Ovis aries: one gene and its partner. The protein of the gene in region 1 purifies or fractionates together with the protein of each later gene. This does not show direct contact. Links are inferred from orthologs where the notes say so. Each region holds a gene or a part of one and is shown in the gene's direction. Other genes may lie near its edges.

Region 1 (5,805 bases):
CCCACTTCTCCATGCCACCTGTCTTTCTGCAGGCCCTCTCCTTCCACCCTAACCCTTCAGGCCCAGTTCCCCCAAAGTTCCTGCTCCTCTCTCACCTGCAAACAAGCTACAGTTCCTTCTCCTAAGTTTAAGGTCCCCACCACATCCTCGCCAAGTCTGTATACAGATTTGAAGATGCCAAATGTCCCAACTTTTCCTCGGCCATCACTGATGTTGTACAGATCTAGGGAGAGACGGACACAGTAAACCTGGGGTCCATACTGGGGAGTCCAAAAGGTGGGCCTGCCTTTATGATCATGAACTATCTGTGGGTCCTCAGAAGAATCTGGCAGTTAGGAGAGTCTGGCTCCGAGACAGGAGTCCTACAGGGGAGGAAGGGGTGGGGCAAATCTGGAAGGACCCTCACGGAGGCTTCGGCAGGATGTGGCAGCCATGAGGCGCTCCCCAGCCAGCTCGGTGAGCCACGAATCCTTCTTCCCACCTTCATCCTCCTCTAGGAATGGGCTGGATGGGGCTACAGCCTCATCCTGGGGAAACCGGACATCTTGAAGGCCTAGAGAGAGTGTAGAGAGGTGGTGGGAGAGAAGAGCGGTGGTTAGGGTTTTAGATGCCAACCGTCAGGGTTGAAGGTACAGGGCGCCACAACTGAGGGGTAGGCATCTCACCTGTGCTCCAGGACATTCTCTCCCCAACTCCCTCACACCATGACTAAGATCAGGAAGCTTCCCTCCAGCCCCTTTCACAAACTCTCTAAAGAGCATTACTGCTTTGGTGAGGCTCTTCCCCAGCCCCTCCCTCCAGGAACCCTTGCTTACCAGTGAGCACAAGAACCCTCAGAGGGACCCTCAGTAAAGTGATGGGTGAGTTGACACGCTGGCAGCCAATGGTCAGTTTGTAGACATACTTGACTGACTGACCCCGAAATGAGGGTGGTCCCTCTACAGGCAGCACTTCGCTGTAGGAGTCTGGTTGGGAAGCAGTAGTCAGGGCAGCCAGAAGTAGCCGGAGAGGTCCTCCCTCCAGGAGCCGCAGAAGGCAATCCAGGGGCCCAGGGGCAGTCACTCACATGATTTGGACTCTCCAGGGTCTAGCCTCAGGTCACAGAAGAGGATTTTTGGTGGAGTGGAAAGGATACACTGACCCCTCTCACCTAAAAAATAGAAGACTGCAACTTAATAACCTCATTGTCTAGCGCTGGAGAAGGCTAGCGAGCAAGTGGGGACAGTAAGCACTGCCAACACGGGGCAAGCCATTCCTCTTTCCTCAAGGTGAGACAGGAACAGCTTTACGCCCCCTAGAGCAATAATTACACTCCACCACAACCCCAATAGGACAGAGACTGTAATGACCCACCAGAACAATTTGACAACTTCACCCTTGGGTAACAATGATTCCATCCCCCTCTGAAGGCAAAAGCCCCATCTCTAACCTCGGTGTGGAAGAAAGACAGTCTGGCTCTCAGGCTGGACCTCCGGCTGACTGGAGTCGGGGGGAGGAAGTGCCACTCGACTCTCACTGGCGTGGAACTGGCAGTGGATTTGGGCACTGGCCCAGGCCAGAGCCTCACTATGGGAGGAGGAAAAGAGGGCATCAGAGGAGCTCCTGACCTCACAAATGCTCTCCCAAACTCCCTACCACACTGAGAAGACCAACACAGAGAGGTGGCTGTCGTCCGGGATCAGAGAATCCAGAACCCCAAAGAGAAACCATTATACACAGAGAAGTATACCATAGGTAGCAGGGGGAGGAGAGAAGAAAGGCGAGCTGAGGGCTATGTCACCCACATCTTCTGTTAACTAGCCCTTCCCTACAATGAGAGCACAATGAACAAGGTGATGGTGATGTAGCCACAGGACAGCCTGAGCTCTGGCTCAGCTCTACAGATAGCAGGCTTCCTCCCAGAAGGCCTGTCTTCTTCAGTACCAGTGTCCCCACCTGGATGCAGAAGTGGCCGTGGGGGGCAGGGGATTGGTGACTGTAACCACACACTCCAGGGCCTCCCCTGCCAGAAAGACAGGACCTCTGCTCAGCTCTGCTACCACTTCAATCATGGCAGCTCCGGGATCGGATCTAGAAGGAAACAAGGGGTATCAGAGGTCAGTACCACGGCAGGGAAGGGTGTCTCGGGCGAGCCTGGGGGTGAGGACCGAGGAAACGGGCGTTCAGTACCACGGTGTCAGAGGGAAGCGCCCAGGTTTGGAGTGCGGGAAGGCGGAAGGCAGGTACGGCGGCAGCTGACCGGGCACTGCAGAGGGAGACGGAGCCGCTTAGGGTCCCAGCCCCCCGCCCCTATCGGCTCCAGGTCATCCCCTCTCTTCCCCGCCGGGACCCCTAGGCCACCCCCGACCCCTTCCCTGGAGGTTCCACCTCCCAGCCCGGGGCCCCGGCCGCCCGGCACCTCGCAACCAAGCCCGGATACCCCTCAGATCGAAACAGGGGACCAGACTGAAACAGGGTACTCGGTGCCTCGAAGGCCTCGGCCGCCCGCCCCTCCGGGCCCGGGCCAAGTGCGTGGCTGCGGCCGCGGCAGAGGCGGGACTTCCCTCCGAGTCCCTTCCGGCCGGAAGCGCCGGGCCGGCTAGGCCGGAAGGGGCTGGGGTGGGCCGGCCGCCCTGGGTCACCTTCCCACGGGCTGGTACCCGGGCGCGGGCGCCGCCCCGGACACCGGCCGGCGGGACCCGGCGCCCACCGCGGGGGGGCCTGGTGCCGCGCCCCGGGGACGGGGCCTGGGCTGCGGCGAACTCCTAGGCCGGTCCCGGGGGCGGTGCCTGGAGGGCCGGCCCCGGGGGCTCCTCCCCTCTCCGCGGGCCCAGTCGCCCTTTGGCCGGGCCAGCTAATCACCGCGGCCCAATGACGTCGAGACCCGATCCTTCCCGCCCAGGTCCCAGAGAGACAACCGAGGGTGAGACCGTGGCGGCTTTATTGCTGTCGCCGCCGCCGCAGCAGCAACAGCTACCTGGTTGCACAGAGACACCGGCTCGCCTCAGCTTTCCCCAGTGGCCCGCTTTCCGAGACAACACCTAAAAACCATCCACGTCCACATCTGGGCTTGGCTGGCCAGATACTTGGTACCAGAAAGCTCGGGAACTGAAACCACCGAGGTCCTGGAGACCCAGGATCCAGGGAATATGGGAACCGGAGTCCCAGCCTCGGAGCAGACCAGCTGTGCCAAAGGCGATCCACAGGCTTCTTGCCCTGAAAATGGCACGGAGGCTGTGCAGGTTACAGACTGTCCAATCCCTGAGGACAGTCAACCCCAGCATGAACAGGGTTACAGCAGTGCGGAGGACTCTGGGCAGCTGATGGCTTCCTACGAGGGGAAAGCTAAGGGCTACCAGGTGCCTCCCTTTGGCTGGCGCATCTGCCTGGCTCACGAGTTTGCAGAGAAGAGGAAACCCTTTAATGCCAATGACATCTCGCTGAGCAACCTGATAAAGCACTTGGGCATGGGCTTGAGGTGAGTCGATCCCATTGCCTAGAGGACCTTGTGCCTCACTTTGTTCCAGCAGAGGCAGGAAAGGGTAAGAAAGCAGGAGGGTGCCTTGTCCTGGTCAGGTGGCCCCTATCTATACCCAACATCATCTAAGCCCATAGTTTTGGAGGGTGAGACTAAGTCAGGTCTCTTTGCAACCCACTTCCTTCCAGTAACTTGTCTGTTTAGCAAGAAAGGGCATTTGAGCCTTGTAGTAAGCCTTACACATCTAGGCTCCCTCTCAGGTGCTCTCTCTTCTCTGAAGACTGCCCTTTGGGATTAGTTATACTTTGTGACAAGGTAGAAAAGATACTCTGGCTGTTTCGGTATTGATACAATGTTGTCTTCTTGGAGGGGAGGGTTCTCAACTCCAGATCCCCCTAAGCAACTGGAGTATTCACTGAACCTCACTCACTTAGGCACAGCATTTTATAGTCCCAACACCCTTTGGCTTCTTTCCTCAAACTCTGGCTCCAGGGAGTGGTTGAGAACTTGCCTGCTCTCAACCCTAAGGAGAGGGCGATGAAAGGTAATATTCACTCTATTCTGGAATAGATGGCCCCTGATATAAAAAGCAAAGAAGACCTTTGACCAGAATGGCCCTGCCTTAGGTGTTCCTAGAGATTAGTTATAATCTTCCAGAGCATTTCCTGGTCCCCTGCCCCAGCAAAGGGTTGCAGACAGGCTGAGAGCTTATCCTGGGCTATAGGACTCCTCCGGATCCTCACTGAGTGTTGGGACCAAGACCCAGTAACAGAGACAGGTGCCTGTGAGGACAGAAAGCATCACCCTGAGGTCATCCTGAGTCAGTTGCCACAGTAAACACAGAACTGTGGAGGGAGGCTTCAAGTATGGGAAACCTAGCTTTGACAGCCTCTTAAGTAGAGGTTCCTTCTCTTCTGCGGTCAGTGCTGTGGGGTTGGGGTGGAGAGCCCGTGGACCTAACCCAAGCCCTCGGCAGTGGGGAGGGCCTGTTGCTGCCTGGGTGTCTGACTCCTTTGACAGTTCCTCTGGGTGGCCTGTACTAGAGCACAGTAATTCCTCCAGGCTGCTTCTGAAACTGACTTGGCTAGTTTAGACCCTAAAAGGCTTTGGGTCAAAACAGGATCTGGGGCCAGGGTACTGAGAGAAGCACCTTGGGGTGCATGTGGTGGGAACACTGAGGTCAAGAACCTGCCCATGGGCATCTTAGCCCCTCCATCCCTAAGTATAAGCTGAATCACAGATGCCTGAAGCTGTCCTCACCCCCTGGACTCAGATCCCCATCCTAGGACAGGGTGGGGATCACTGACACAGGGGTTTTGAGATGAGATGAGGTCCTGCACTGAGGAGAATGCAGGGGTGAGACAAGAATTCTGAATGATTAAGTTGAGGTTGAAATCATGGAAAAGGACAAATAGATCAGGAATAGCCAGCTGTTCAATGGTGTGAGAGAAACATAGGCCCTAAGAGGGAGCTGAATTGGGGGTACACTGATCAGGAGCCCCAGTAAGACAGAGTTCTCTTGGCCTCAGAATGGTAAGAACTCAATTTTGGTTGCTATCCCTTTCAGCCCGAATCCATTCATTCAGTAAATATGTACTGAGTGCTTGTTCTGTGCTAGACACACCTTTGTTCTGCTATCTTCACATCTTGCATTTCTCCCTCACCACCCTAATCGGAGCTGTGCCCTCCCTCCATTTGGCAATCCTTTCTGGCCACCAGTTTCAAAGTCCAGTTTCCTCTAAACTGGCAAAGAAGAGCTGCCTTCCCACTGTTCGTCTTCCCTCCGTCTCCCCTCACTCCCAGAATGTACCCTCCTGTTCTTTAATCATATTTCTCCTTCACTTGCTCCTGTCCTTGTTTATTTCTCTTATGTTCCACTGTTTGTACATATGTTCTTTGTAAACCCAGCAAATATTTGTTGACTGCAGACCAGGTGCCCTGTGCTTGAAGCTGTGGGTAATAAGCAATAAGTCTTTGTCGCTGTCCCTTTCCCCAGGGAACTGAAAAGTATGTCAGACTCACGTGAGAAACAGTAAAGTAACAGGACAGTGTCTGATTGGGAGCTGAGATAGTGTACATACAAGTAATGATGATATGTGACATGGATATTCCACTTTGTAGCTTTCCTATCTATTGTGTCATTTGTGACCTTAGAAGGGCACAAATGTGCCAATAGAAGGTTATCTATTGTGCCCTTCCAACCATCCCTTGAGGTAGGAAGGGCAAGAGTATCCCCATAGATTCAGCAGGGTTACTTACCCCATTACATAGCTATAAGCAGTGTGCTTGAACAATGGGGATAAATGAACGAACTGCCGAGGGAGGAGAGTGGAATTGGGAGAGAGTCC
Region 2 (5,683 bases), on another chromosome or scaffold:
TCTTTTGTTGACCATGATGGCTACTCCATTTCTTCTGCGGGATTCCTGCCCGCAGTAGTAGATATAATGGTAATCTGAGTTAAATTCACCCATTCCAGTCCATTTTAGTTCACTGATTCCTAGAATGTCGACGTTCACTCTTGCCATCTCTTGTTTGACCACTTCCAATTTGCCTTGATTCATGGACCTGACATTCCAGGTTCCTACGCAATATTGCTCTTTACAGCATCGGACCTTGCTTCTATCACCAGTCACATCTACAGCTGGGTATTGTTTTTGCTTTGGCTTCATCTCTTCATTCTTTCTGGAGTTATTTCTCCGCTGATCTCCAGTAGCATATTGGGCACCTACTGACCTGGGGAGTTTCAGTATCCTATCATTTTGCCTTTTCATACTGTTCATGGGGTTCTCAAGGCAAGAATACTGAAGTTGTTTGCCATTCCCTTCTCAGGTGGACCATATTCTGTCATACACTATTCTCCTAATCTATGTTAATGAAACATTGTATGGTAATCTGCCTTTCTTCAAGATTCAGGTCTATCGGCTTATGGCCTGGGATGACTCACCTTTTGCCATTCTCTGAGTTTTGAGACATTTCCTATCTTTAATTAGCAGACTGCTAGTAGCTGTATAACATCCAGCTAAAGACTAGCAGGGGGCACTCTTTCTGCCCCCTTCTGATGTCTCTGTCGGAAGCTTTCTCTATGTTTTATTTATTTTTTTTTCCAGTCCTGTGTTCTCTATCTTTTATACTTTAATAAAACTTTATTATACAGAAGCACTGAGCTATCAAGCCTCGTCTCTGGCCCCAGGTTGAGTTCTTCTCCTCCAGAGGCCAAGAATCCTGGTGTCTTTTATTCTTCAGCAACAACCTTTCACCTATAGCTAGAGAAAACCCCTGTGCAGCAAGGAAGACCCAGTGCAGCCAAGAATAAATAAATAAATAAAAATTTAAAAAGAATATACCTATCAATAATTACTAAAAATCAAAGCTTCTCTGTTCATGGGATTCTCCAGGCAAGAATATTTCTCTGTTCATGGGATTCTCCAGGCAAGAATACAAGTGGGTTGTCATTTCCTTCTCCAGGGGATTATTCAATGTATGTTCTTATAAAACAAAGGGAATAGAAGAGCTCACGGAGACAGCAAGGATAGGTGGAAAAGAGAAGCAAATGGACAGTAACACGTGGAGAATGTGGGGCCGATGGAAGTTTTGTTTTAATGGGTGGAATTGAAGAGTTAAAAATTTACATTCCCTCCTGCTCCTTCCCTCTTTGTTTAACTCAGCTTGCTCCTTGCAAAGTCTGGATCACATAGGTCTCAGAAAGTGGGGACTCACAATAATAGGATCTGGAGCTTATCTCACCCTTTTCCTGCTCTTTGCAATCGCCCAACCCCAGCAAACCTGCTTAATCATGCCCGTTTGTGTATAAAAACTCCATAACCCCTTTGTTCAGGGCTCAGAGTTTGGAGTGTTAACTCCTCTGGGCCCGCTGGCGTAATAAACCTGAGTTCTCCAACTCTCCGAGTGTAGTGCCTGGTTTCTCGACTACTGGTTTCTGCAACAGAATGATTCTACAGACTATGAACGATGGGGTAGAATTCTGAGGGCAATCCCAGAAGTGGACTCGGGATGGGAGCCAGTGTAAAAACGGCAGGGTTTGTCTTGGAGAGAAGCAGAGCGTTGGGGACCATAATTACTGCCCCTTTACTGATGGGGAGATCCTTTTCCAGAAGGCTGAAATGTGGCGAATCGCGGGCTGGAAAGGGGACCACTCGCAGTGTTCCCTCTCCATCACCGGAAGCAGAAAACCCCAAGCCTGCAGGAAGTGGGCAGGGCCTACGAGGGTAAGGGAAACAGTGGAGGCGGGCTTAGGGGAGAGAGGGCAGGCCTCTGCCTTTGCAGAATTGCGGTGGGGTGGGAGGCCGAGTCTGGAGCCAGAGGGGCAGGGCTTGTTTGGGGTGAGATCACGGATGGCGACACTGGGCGAGGGGTCTGTGATCGTCCGCTGGGCCAACGTGAAGGGGCGTCCAGCATGCCTTCTGTGGAAAGCAGTTTGGGCTCGGAATGCCTGGAATCTGCAGGCCAGCAACTTGGGGCCAAGGGGAGACCGGAGGAGGGCGGATCCGCGAGACTCCAGGCCGCTGAAAGTCGTAGAGGAGCGTGGCTTCTTGTTTTGAAAAAAAAAAAAAAAAAAAAAAAAAAGGGTGTGCGTCTGTGAGGCTTGCAGCACAAACCAATGAAAAGCGAGGGAGGGCGGAGCCTGTGCAAGAGGCGGCCAGTAGAGACGGAGCTCTTAGAGGAGGGGCCTGTGTCCCGGTGAGTGGCTAGGACTTCGCGCATGCGCGGAGGGGCGCCCTGGATCCAAGCGGCCAAAAGGGGCAAGGACACAGGTGCTTGGCCCAACCCTTTCAAGGCGTGCGCCTGGTCACGTGACACGCAGGGCGCCGAATTCCTCTGGAGCCAGCGCCATTTCCTATGGGTGAAGGTTAAAGTTCCACGGGGGTAGGAGGAGCATCCTGATACGACCTGACCTTGACTCACGGCCTGGATTCGGGAGTCAGATTGGAGTCCAGGCGCTCGGTGGAGGGGAGGGGTCCGGCTTCAGGAGAGGGTCATGCACGCAGACTTGGAGGTGTAGTCATGGGGTGGGCTCACCACTAGGGCGAAGATTCGTGTCCTTGATATCAAAGAGAGGCGGGGTTTCCCGCCGACCCATTGAGAAGCAGGTAAGTGGGAAATAATTGGAGGCGCTGTCGCCGCGTCGACTTGTGGTGGCCGAATTTAGCTGGTCGTGGTAATGTATGGGGAGGGGGGTTGGGCTAGCGTTGCAAGGGGCGTGGCCTGGTTAGGAGCCTGGAGGTGTAAGGGGCGTGATCGCTTAGGTGCGCGAGACAAGGGGCGTGGCCGGGATCTGGGCCAGGAGAGAGGGTGTGCCTTCTGAGTAATTTAATTGTCGCCTCCAAGTCCAAGCACTGCCCTTTCTTCCTTAGGTGTCAGCTCATGGAGACCGCGGCGACTGCCGCCCCAGCTTGGGGCTTCTTCTCCTCTTTCCTGCTCCTGGCCTTCGGGACGCTAGTGGCCGCCTTGCTGGGCGCCGCTCACCGCCTGGGGCTCTTCTATCAGTTGATGCACAAGGTTCGGGGGCATACAGGGGTGGCGGGCCGGGGGCAGTCAAAGGAGTGGACTTCAGTTAGCACCGTTTCCAGCTAACCCATTTCACAGGCGGGGAGAGTGAGGTTCCGATTAATGCAGAGCGACTCACTGGTCGGGAAATTCTAGGATCGGTTGCTACTGTGGAACTGCTTCCGGGACCCTGGACTTTGCCTCTAGGAAGGGGCCACAGGGAAACTACAGCTGCCCGGCACTCCACACCCCGCCCGGCACTCCACACCCCACCCTACCCCCTTCCTTAAAGGTTCTCAGTCCTTTTCACAGAGCGGTGCTCCCTAATACGGTGGAGTCAGAGTGCTGAGGGCAGGCCCCAGAGGATGTGGCTGGCTGTGACAGATTTGTGAGGGTAGCTGTCTGTTCTGCTCAGCGCTTTAGAGCGATTTTCCCAAGTACCCATCAGTTTGTTTTCATTTTCCACAAGCAGAAACCGAGGCTCAGAGAGGGTGTGTGATGACTTGCCTAAGGTGACCTGTTTAGGGAAGAAGTGACTCCACAGACCTGGCTCTGAACTACTTGGCTCCTCGCAGAAATTCACCCTTTCCCAGACCCTTTCCCTGTCTTTTTTTTTTTTTAAGTCTTTACTGAATTTGTTACAGTGTTGCTCCTGTTTTATGTTTTGGATTTTGGCTGCCAGGAATGTGGGATCTTGGCTCTCTGCCCAGGGATCGAACCCACACCCTCTGCATTGGAAGGCAAAGTCTTAACCACCAGCCCACCAGGGAAGTCTCCCTCCTAACCTGGAGCAGTGCCACTAGCCTTGTGGACCTGTAAAGATTTAAGACAAAGGCCGGGCTTCCCAGGTGGTGCAGTGGTAAGGAACCTGCTTGCCAGTGCGGGAGACGTGGATTTGACCCTTAGGTTGGGAAGATCCCCTGGAGAAGGAAATGGCCACCCACTCCAGTATTCTTGCCTGGGAGGTCCCGTGGACAGAGGAGCCTGGCAGGCTGCAGTCTGTGGGGCTGCAAAAGAGCCGGACATGACTGAGTGACTGAACAACCATAACAGTGACAAAGGCCTCTGGTGTACGGGGCTGTGTGGAAGCTGGGGCTGGGAAGCCCCAGCATTGTCTTTGCCACAGGCTGCTCCTGTGCTAGGCAACTTGGTTGTTGGCAGCCTGTGAATGGGGCCTGGTCCAGTGGGTGGGAGGGGGCCTGGGAGATGAGTTAGCAGTCTCCTGTTGTGGGGACCCGATACTGGAGGGCAGGCCGTTCTGGAGTCCCAGCTGGTGGCTTCTGGCCAAGCTCCCTTGGGCTCTGTGGATCCACCTTTTCTAATCTCTCTTCCTGTTTGCGCCACAGGTGCCTTGAGAGCACTGATTCTATGGGACTTTGAGTCTTGCTCAGGAGTCATGGTCTTTGTAGCTGTAAAAGGATATATTGTCGGGAGGCTCTGATAAGATGCCTGGTGTGGCTCAGTGGTAAAGAATCTGCCTGCCAATGAGGGAGACGTGGGTTCAATGCCTGGGTTGGGACAATACCCTGGAGAAGGAAGGTAACCCATTCCAGTGTTTACTGCCTGGGAAATTCCATGGAGAGAGGAACCTGGTGGGCTACAATCCATGCAGGTCGCAAAAGAGTCAGACACGACCTAGCGACTAAACAAGAGCAAAGCAACACCAAGCTTCCCCTGCCTTCCCGCCTTGCCCCTCCCCTCCTTCCTGGGGGAGGGGTGTAATTCCTCTGCCCACCTGCCCTGGTGTCTGCACCTTGGTCCTTGACAATCTCACTCCTCCCCTCTCCCGGCCCAGGTGGACACGGCAAGCATCCGGCATGGTGGGGAGAACGTGGCAGCCGTGCTGAAGGCCCACGGTGTGCGCTTCCTTTTCACGCTGGTCGGCGGGCACATTTCGCCACTGCTGGTGGCCTGTGAGAAGTTGGGCATCCGTGTGGTGGACACCCGCCACGAAGTCACAGCTGTCTTTGCCGCTGATGCTGTAGCCCGCCTGACCGGTGAGGGCAGAATGGGGAGGGCTGGGGGCTGGTGAGACTGGGATGTGTTTGAGGGGGCAGGGATTTTATTTTGCGGGGAGAGGAACATGGCTGGGAGGGTGGACCCAGCTGAGACAGGGTTTGTGTTCCAGGGACGGTGGGTGTGGCAGCCGTGACGGCAGGCCCCGGCCTCACCAACACAGTGACTGCGGTGAAGAACGCCCAGATAGCTCAGTCCCCAGTCCTGCTCCTGGGTGGGGCTGCCAGCACCCTGCTGCAGGTGCCCTGTCCTGGTGGGGTGGGGGGCAGGTGGCAGGGACCCCAGGGAGCCTGGAAGTGCTCATGTATTGACTTCCTGGATTTTTTCTGTCTCTACTAGAATCGGGGTGCACTCCAGGCAGTTGATCAGATGTCCCTGTTCCGGCCGCTCTGCAAATTTTGTGCTTCTGTGCGAAGAGTGCGGGATATCATCCCCACCCTGAGGGCCGCGATGGCGGCTGCACAGTCGGGTACCCCCGGTAGGTAGTGGGGCGGGGGCTGGGCAGAGGTCCCGCCCTGGGACCTGGGAGGCACGGCAGAC

Evidence for each region. The genes of interacting proteins can lie anywhere in the genome.
Region 2: the proteins of GBA2 (region 1) and ILVBL purify together in Homo sapiens (co-immunoprecipitation; 3 studies listed by BioGRID and IntAct, counting the BioPlex papers as one, with this or other methods). This does not show direct contact. The link is inferred for Ovis aries from reciprocal best matches to the Homo sapiens genes GBA2 and HACL2.

The regions. Positions count from the first base shown.
Region 1 is NC_056055.1:52,793,377-52,799,181, forward strand, and holds the start of GBA2 (non-lysosomal glucosylceramidase), read left to right. Parts: upstream 1-2,605; 5' UTR 2,606-3,128; coding exon 3,129-3,457; intron 3,458-5,805. Other genes in the region: RGP1 (RAB6A-GEF complex partner protein 2), read right to left, coding at 96-223, 407-553, 816-965, 1,067-1,150, 1,430-1,566, 1,936-2,051. UniProt on the Homo sapiens protein: Non-lysosomal glucosylceramidase that catalyzes the hydrolysis of glucosylceramides/GlcCers (such as beta-D-glucosyl-(1<->1')-N-acylsphing-4-enine) to free glucose and ceramides (such as N-acylsphing-4-enine).
Region 2 is NC_056058.1:7,844,908-7,850,590, forward strand, and holds the start of ILVBL (2-hydroxyacyl-CoA lyase 2), read left to right. Parts: upstream 1-2,438; 5' UTR 2,439-2,506; intron 2,507-2,994; 5' UTR 2,995-3,004; coding exon 3,005-3,139; intron 3,140-4,922; coding exon 4,923-5,124; intron 5,125-5,255; coding exon 5,256-5,383; intron 5,384-5,482; coding exon 5,483-5,621; intron 5,622-5,683. UniProt on the Homo sapiens protein: Endoplasmic reticulum 2-OH acyl-CoA lyase involved in the cleavage (C1 removal) reaction in the fatty acid alpha-oxydation in a thiamine pyrophosphate (TPP)-dependent manner. Involved in the phytosphingosine degradation pathway.